Linked DNA regions of Ovis aries. The protein of the gene in region 1 binds, or shares a complex with, the protein of each later gene. Links are inferred from orthologs where the notes say so. Each region holds a gene or a part of one and is shown on either strand. Other genes may lie near its edges. The genes, in order: RANBP9 and GID4.

Evidence for each region.
Region 2: the proteins of RANBP9 (region 1) and GID4 are in contact, whole or in part, in a cryo-EM structure (PDB 7NSC), measured with the Homo sapiens proteins. The link is inferred for Ovis aries from reciprocal best matches to the Homo sapiens genes RANBP9 and GID4. Residues at the interface, in NP_005484.2 of Homo sapiens: Ser223, Lys224, Gly225, Arg226, Asp227, Gly228, Tyr229, Met230, Gly256, Asp257, Thr274, Phe275, Thr276, Thr277; in NP_076957.3 of Homo sapiens: Leu187, Arg189, Asp194, Glu195, Asn216, Asp218.

Annotation. Positions count from the first base shown.
Region 1 is NC_056073.1:42,218,897-42,222,276, forward strand, and holds the end of RANBP9 (ran-binding protein 9), read left to right. Parts: intron 1-1,878; coding exon 1,879-2,009; 3' UTR 2,010-2,873; downstream 2,874-3,380. UniProt on the Homo sapiens protein: May act as scaffolding protein, and as adapter protein to couple membrane receptors to intracellular signaling pathways. Acts as a mediator of cell spreading and actin cytoskeleton rearrangement.
Region 2 is NC_056064.1:34,268,954-34,273,291, forward strand, and holds the start of GID4 (glucose-induced degradation protein 4 homolog), read right to left. Parts: upstream 2,812-4,338; 5' UTR 2,574-2,811; coding exon 2,385-2,573; intron 1-2,384. Other genes in the region: ATPAF2 (ATP synthase mitochondrial F1 complex assembly factor 2), read left to right, coding at 3,166-3,298.

The DNA.
Region 1 (3,380 bases):
CCAAAGTGGGAAACGGGACTTGCTGTCCCAACTGGTAGCCATTCCTTGGGAGCAGAGTGCGGTGCTTATAAACTGAACAGATGCTCTTTAAATGAATTCAGTAACTGCACGTTTTATGCATTTATATATGAACTACATGCTGCTGCTGCTGCTGAGTCGCTTCAGTCGTGTCCGACTCTGTGCGACCCCATAGACGGCAGCCCACCAGGCTCCCCCGTCCCTGGGATTCTCCAGGCAGGAACACTGGAGTGGGTTGCCATTTCCTTCTCCAATGCATGAAAATGAAAAGTGAAAGTGAAGTCGCTCAGTTGTATCCAACTCTTAAGTGACCCCATGGACTGCAGCCCACCAGGCTCCTCCGTCCATAGGATTTTCCAGGCAAGAGTACTGGAGTGGGGTGTCATTGCCTTCTCCAGTATAAACTACATAGGGTTGATTATTTACATAAAATGACATTTTAATACCTGGGCATTTTTTTTCAAAGGGAATTTGGATGAGTGACTTTTCACCTTCCATTTTAGAATGTAATTCCTCAAGAAAAATGGGAGCTACCAGTTTAAAGTCTGTTGTGTGCTGTTTGGCCATTAGGCTTGGGAGCTTTGAGGAACATGTGAGACACTCTTAGATGAGGGCCGTGCACAGTGTCAGTGTGCAGGCAGGAGACTGGAGCCAAAGCCAGGGGAGCAATTTAGAGTTCTGACATTGGGGCCTTACTTCTTTTCTCTGATAAAGTTCATTATTAATTAATTGTGTTGTGGCTTAATAGTGAAGTTTGGGCATAGGAATTGGTATTGTTATAATTTTCTCACATTTAGGATTTGTATATAATGATGTGAACTTTGGTTAATATGTTGCTTTGGTTATTCAAAATTAATTTAGTTCTACTGATAAAAAATAAGTATACTCAGTAGCAGTGCTAGAATTGTAGGGCAAATTATAGTTTACTGTAACTGTCTTTTTGAAATGACTACATTATAGGTAATCATGAAGTCCTAATTGCTTTCTATCTGGGTAACGCTCAGATTCAGAATTTTTGAAGAAAAGTGACCAGTTTTCATGTGACAGTTAAGAATCTTATGTTCTCCAGGGGAATTAAAATTTCAAGTAGTCAATTGCTTAGGACCACTATCCAGGAGATATATATATAGTCTTACATATTGTGCCCTAAATTATGTAGTTCAACTACAAATAGTGCTTAAATTCATTAACTATATGTAGTTCCTGCAAAAGGAATGACCAGACTTACACTGCTGGGGGGGGGGGGTGCGTATTTGTATACTGTGCTGTGTTGTAGAGCTTCACGTCTCAATGGGGCTTCAAGTTACATTACTGTATGTGAGGCCTGCAAGTTTTGTATTCCAAAAAAGTCTAAAGGACAGTTATAATTGATGTGCCTCCCTTGGCCAAAGTAAAAGTGTAACAATGTGCTTACCAACCCAAATAGCATTCACCACTGTGCCCTGGAGAGGAGTAGGTGGCCTCTGTTGGGCCGTATCCCCAGAAAGATGAAGAATCCATCAGTAAAACTTTACTGAACGCCTGGTGCCTTTTTTTCTGGTAATGTCAACATTAGATAAACATTAGTTAAGAAATTACATCATTCCCATCATAGTAAATATGGAAGTAAATTTTTTGAATATCTAACAGTCTTAGTTCTGCAAGAATTTACTACTACTTGAAAACCCAGTGACCATATAGTACCTTGTCAAAGTAATGTCCAAGGTATTGTTTGCTTAAAAACCACCTTTGCTACTTAGCTTGTTAAGTGCAGTACAGGCATTGGTAATTTTGTAAGCAATGCAGTGTTTTCCTGATTGAGAGATGCTGTTTAAAATGTCTTGCTAATTGGCGTTTCCACTTTTAATCATTTTTCCACAGAAACCCACAATCTGCCAAAGCAACCTCCACTCGCCCTAGCCATGGGACAGGCCACCCAGTGTCTGGGACTGATGGCTCGATCAGGAATCGGATCCTGTGCTTTTGCCACAGTGGACGACTACCTACATTAGCTATGCATTTTCGGAGCTCACACTTACATTGCGGCATATAGACGACATGGAAGTAGACCAGCTCTGCTGATCTGAAACTTAGATTTTTTTAATTATGTACTGGGGACAGGTTTTTGTCGCTTTACATTGCTTCCTAGTTTACAGCATGATGCAAATGATTTTCTAACTTAGTGTTAGGAGCAATTATTTTCCATCTTTAGCCTCTTAGTTGTCTAAGAGTTGAATATTACTGAATTCCAGACATTCAAATTGATCATCACAAATCCTCTAAAACAATTACCTAAAAGAAACCAAAAAGTCCTGCCTTCGTTGTTGGGGGGAGAGAGGGGGGAAGGAAACGGAACAAGTTGTGTTTGTGTTAGCATGTGGGTGATGTAAACTTCAAATTGGGAGGTATTCTGACCCCCGCTCCCATATAAGCATTCAATCAGTGTAACTTGCAAAATGCATAAACATCTGACAGTTTGAATTTATAGTGTTGATGGAAGAAATCATTTTTAATGTGTACTGTAAAACTTGAAATACTCAGGAGCTGAGTGAATATGTTTGTTGCTACTTACAATCCCGACCTGTTAGTCCCAGTAGTTTTGTTTTAACATGGTCTTTCTCAACTTTGTTTCCTGTTTAACTACAGATGACTTCTGTTGTAGACTCACAAGTTGAACTGTTGTATTATAACAGTATTACATGTCAACAGTGTGGTTATGACCTTTATTTATATAAAAACCAAATATTTAGTCAATTTACTGTGTCTTAATTTAATCTTTGTACACCTTCCATTTTTAAGTGCTTAAAATGAGTACTATATTGCAATAAAAATGTAGTGATATAATTAACCAGCCATTAAAAATTTACTTCTACAGATACCAGAGTGTCAGTTGAATTTATACATTAGGTACCTGCATACTTATGATTAATATAAAGTTAGAACAAGTAAAGTTAGAACAAGTTAGAATGAGTGGTTGCTACTATAAATCTGAGCTCTGCAACCCAAGACTGCCTTGCATTTACTGGCCTCCCTGGATCAGGGCCAAACCTGATGCTATAGATGATGCAGAAAGCAGGGAGTCGATCTTATTTTCATGATCATCATATGGTGTGTGACTTGCCAGTTTTAAAGCAAACCCCCAAACTGGTTAAAAGTAAAATATAAACAAGCTCTTCAACAGAATGACCATATCCTTTGGTTTGGCAAAGGTGTCTGTTGGCTGTACACTGAGTCTTAAACCTTCTTTTAAAAGAACAATTATCTACGCTTGGATACTCTTCCACATATTCTGTGAGAGTCTCATCAGTGGCACCAAAATACCTGAGACAAACACATCAGAGAGCTTCAGTTAGAGACTTTTACTGCCATACCGGGGGTGGGGG
Region 2 (4,338 bases), on another chromosome or scaffold:
TTAGCAACTGAATAGTGTTGGAGGGGTGTGGCACCTAAGGATTCTTTCTGGGGGTAATGAAGATGTTCTAAAATTAGACTGCAGTGGCAGTTACACAGCTTTGGGACCACACTGAAAACTATTGAACTGTACACCTTACATGTGTGACTTGTGTGACAGGCGAATCATACCTCAATAAAGCTCCTATGAAAAATAGAAAGAAAGCAGGAAAGAGGCGGAGTTACAAAACTCAGAAGTTTCTAAGATGACAGAGCCCAAGAACCCAGTTGTGGCTGAAAAACCAGCTGATTGGGCAACTCACAGGCCAGACTCTGCGACAGTAAGACACTCACCCATCCAGGTCCAGGTGCAGGGCAGCATTCCTGGGTGTGACTGCCGCCCCCACCAGCAGAGGGCCGACTCCAAGTGGCCTCCAGCCACTGGCCAGGTCACTCTGGCCACCCTGGGACCTGCCAGTTGTGCACCAACCCAATCCCTACTCCCACCAGTTCACAAGGGAATTGGCACCAGCAGGAATTCAGAAACAACACACTGAGGACAGGGAGGGGAGCTGCCGCAGGAACCAAGATTTGTCTGTGATACCAGGCTGCTCCGCCACTGGTCCCCAACCCCATTAGACACCATCAAACTCAACAAGAGGCCCAAGTCAAGATCATCCCAAACATGACCCACACCAGGCATCTCACTTCTAGAATTTTATGATGAGCTGCAAAATGTAAAAGAGTCTGTATCTTCCTACTCAATTCTCACATTTGGAGCAGAAGAGAAGGGAGATTGCCACAGTGGTCGTCTAATGGTGAAAGCTGAAATAACTCAGCTACGACCCTTTTCTTTTCCTGGCCTTGTCTCACAGCTCGAAGGATCTCAGTTCCCCGAGTAAGGACTGCACTTGGGCCACAGTCCAGTGAAAGCGCCAAATCCTAACCATGAGACCACCAGGTAATGCCCATCTTTTTAATTACGATAAACATCATAGCTCATGTTAGAAATTTCAGTTTGTAGACCAGAGACACAATTAACAGAGATGGAGTTCTCTTGATCTAAAGTAAAAGACTTACTCCCACAAAGCAGTAAGATAAAAAGAGGCAGATGAATCGGCAGTTGGTGGAGACAAAACATATCCCCGTTGTCTTTAAGGTGGGAGAAGAGAGGCTGAGAAGAGAGGCTGTTTGAGATTTAAAATCAGCAAAGAGCAAAGGACAGGAGAAAAATTCTGTCCTCACACAACCTACATTCTACATCTACATCCTACATTCTGTCCTCAGACAGAACATCAAAGCTTCTGCAAGACCTTTGAGGGGACAGTGTTTGGAGGAGCTTTTAGGCACAGCTCAGGAGGTGAGGTATCAGACTGAAGACAACAGGGCGAAGGGAGGAGGAAGTGGGTCCTGCTGCAGGCCTGAGCAGATAGACAGGAGGAACAGTTTTCCAAGAAGGCAGAGAAGAAAGAGGATTAACCACTGCCGATCTCCTTGGGCCGGGAGGAAATGTCAAGTGTGCTCCCATCGACATGAGAGGAGTGAAGTGCAGGAAGGAGCTGGGACAGGTAAAGCTAAAGTTCCAAAGCCATTAGGAGCTGGCAGCAGGTTCTCAGAAATCCAGGTCAGATGGGGGGAGGAAATACCATATGAGAAATAAAAGTGGGTGAGTTACATTTCCTAGCATGAGTATCAGAGACTACAAAGGAAGCCCTGACATGTGGATCAAAGTTAAAAATACAGTAAGAGGGTCCCCTAGAGCCAGGAAGGAGGAGAACAGAGAGATGGGGAGGTCTGGGCAGACAGATGGACAGAACAGGAGTGGACTGGAAGTGGAAAGAGGGTGGGGAGTAGGGAGTGTCAAGAGTCTGAGCCAGGAAGAGACTATGGGTTGGGGGCTAGGAGATCAGCTTCTAACAGACTGTGAGGAGCCCACTTAGGATGTGAGTGCCCAGGCTAAGGAATGGGCCAGCAGTCCAGGTGGGATGGGGGCCCTCAGGTCCCGGGGCTGATGGAGAGAGGAGGCGGATGAAGCTCTGCCGGGGAGGAAACCCCCGGAGAAGGAGGCGGGTCCCAGGGCCTGGGGTTCATGGGACCGAGGAAAACGTGGGAGGCAGCAGGCACGTCTAGGGCCTGGGAGCGTCCAGAGTCAGAGGGAATCCCTGGAGAGTTTCCCGGACGGGGTCCGAGAGGGACTGAAAGAAAGACTGTTGCCGGGGCGACAGGCCACGGGGAGGCAGGGCCGGATCTGAGGCGGCCGGTCCCCGGCTCGGGCCCGCAGGGTTGGGGTGCGCCGGAGGGCCCCCGGCAGGCCCGGGCAGCAGGCCCGTCCGTGGCCGCGGGCCCCAGGGGGCGGCGGCGTGGCCCGGTCCGTGGACGTCTCGAGAGGCCGGGCCGCCGGCTCACCTGCAGCACTACCTCCACGTCGTACGAGTTCCCCTTGCTCTTCTGGTGGCCGCGGAACTTGGAGCCGCTGTAGAGCAGGCTGGTGGCCACGCCGGGCTGCTGCGTGTTGATAGGCGGCGGCGGGATGAGCGAGGCGGCGGAGGCGGCCGAGGCACCGGCCGGCGGGGGACACTCGGTGCGGACCGGCATCGCGGGGTCCCCCGGAGCCAGGGCTGGGGGAGGGGGAGGAACCGCCGCCGCCGCGCGGAAGCCGAGGGCAGACGGAGGAGAAGCCGGCGCGCGCGTAGGGCGGGAGGGGTCCACCCGCCGGCCGCAAGCAGATCGAGCGCTCCGGCCACCACCGGGACCCCGGGACCTGCGAGCAGGGCCTCCGGGTCCTGAGCGAACCCCCTCCCCGCCTGCGCTCGCACACACACCCCTTCCGATTGGCTCGGGCGCGCTGAGGGGCGGGATCAGGCTGGCTCGGCGATTCCGCCCATTGGCGGGCGGGGAAAGCACGTGGCGGGAGCCGAGGCCCTCTGGTACTTGTAGTCTTTTTCCCGAGGCGCGGCGCGGGGGCGGGGCCGGGGCGTTTGTGATGCTGATTGGCTGCGGCGTGCGCTGAGGCGCGCGGCGGCGGCGCGCTACGAGTGTCGTGCGCAACATGGCGGCGCCCCAAAAGGGAGAGGGTGCCGGCGACTGGTGAGGAGGTTTGTGGAGTTCGAGCACACGGCGTGTGGTCCCTCCGCTCCTTTTCCCCGAGCTCTGGTTTCGAGCGGTCGTTCTCTGAGGCCCCCGCGCGATGTGGAGGAGCTGCCTTCGGCTGCGGGATGGGGGGCGTCGCCTCCTGAACCGGCCCCGAAGTGGCCTCACCGCCTCCGAGGGGCTGGGGCGAAAGCCCCCTATCCCCTTCCGGGCCTACGTGCCCCCGGCAGGTGAGAGAGGCCAGGGCGGAGCAGGCTGAGGGGTCGGCCATGCAGGGTCACACGGTGGGAGGGAAGTTCCCCGCGAGGGCAGGGATCGCTCCAGGGCACACGCGCGTCGTTTCCTTTTGGCAGGTGCGGTTTTTCTCTCTTTCACTGGGGAAGCAGAGGTCATCCTTATTTTCAGGCGGGGAAATTCGACTTCTGGGTCGGGATTGCGCTAGAGGCGCGAAGCAGACTCAGAGGTTTGCGGGGCAAAGGCCAGTCTGCTAGGCTGCTTTCTGTGTCCCCGCGACCGGCACTGAAGGGGCCTGAAGCTCGGGCTTTAAGTCTTCCATCCCGGCCGCTTGCTCCACAGCTGTCCTGGCCCTGCCTCCTGCTGCCCTCCCAGAACACCTGCCACCTCTTCTAAGGAGTTGACACCCCGTGCCCCCTTCCTGCACTTCCGACTCGGATGAGGCTTTCTGTAGCGGATCTTTCTTACTCCTAGGCAAAGATTTTGGGATAAGAGTGGGACTGACTTTAAGTGAGTGAAGACAGTAACGCTTTCTTTCCTGCCAGTTAGTACTGTGCTGAAGGTGGGGGTGAGGAGAAGGTCACTGCGGTGTTGGAGCTGTTCCGAGGTCGCCCGTGTGGCCTCCAGTCCCCTACCAGCTGTCCCAGCCATCAGCTGCATAGAGAAGAAAGGTCTTCAGAGAGCCTGCCTGTCCAGCTGAGGAGTACACCGGTGAAGTCAAAGCTGGGGGTCTCTGCTTACAAGTTGTCTTGTCTGCACAAGTGGTTTAGCGTCTCATTGTCTGCCTCCTCTAAAGAGACAGCTTGTGCTGGATTGAGGGAGATGCTGTAGATAGGGAGGCCAGCCTGCCACCTGTTTTTGTAAATAGTTTTCCAGGAACCCAGGCCCGCTCATTCACTGACACACACCTAAGGCTGTTTTCACTACAGTGCAGAGTTGGCTGGTTGTGCCAGACACTGGATGGCCTGCAAAGCTTAAAACACTTTGGCTTTTTACAGAAAAAGTTTGCCAGCAGTGCTGTGGATGCTAGAGCGGT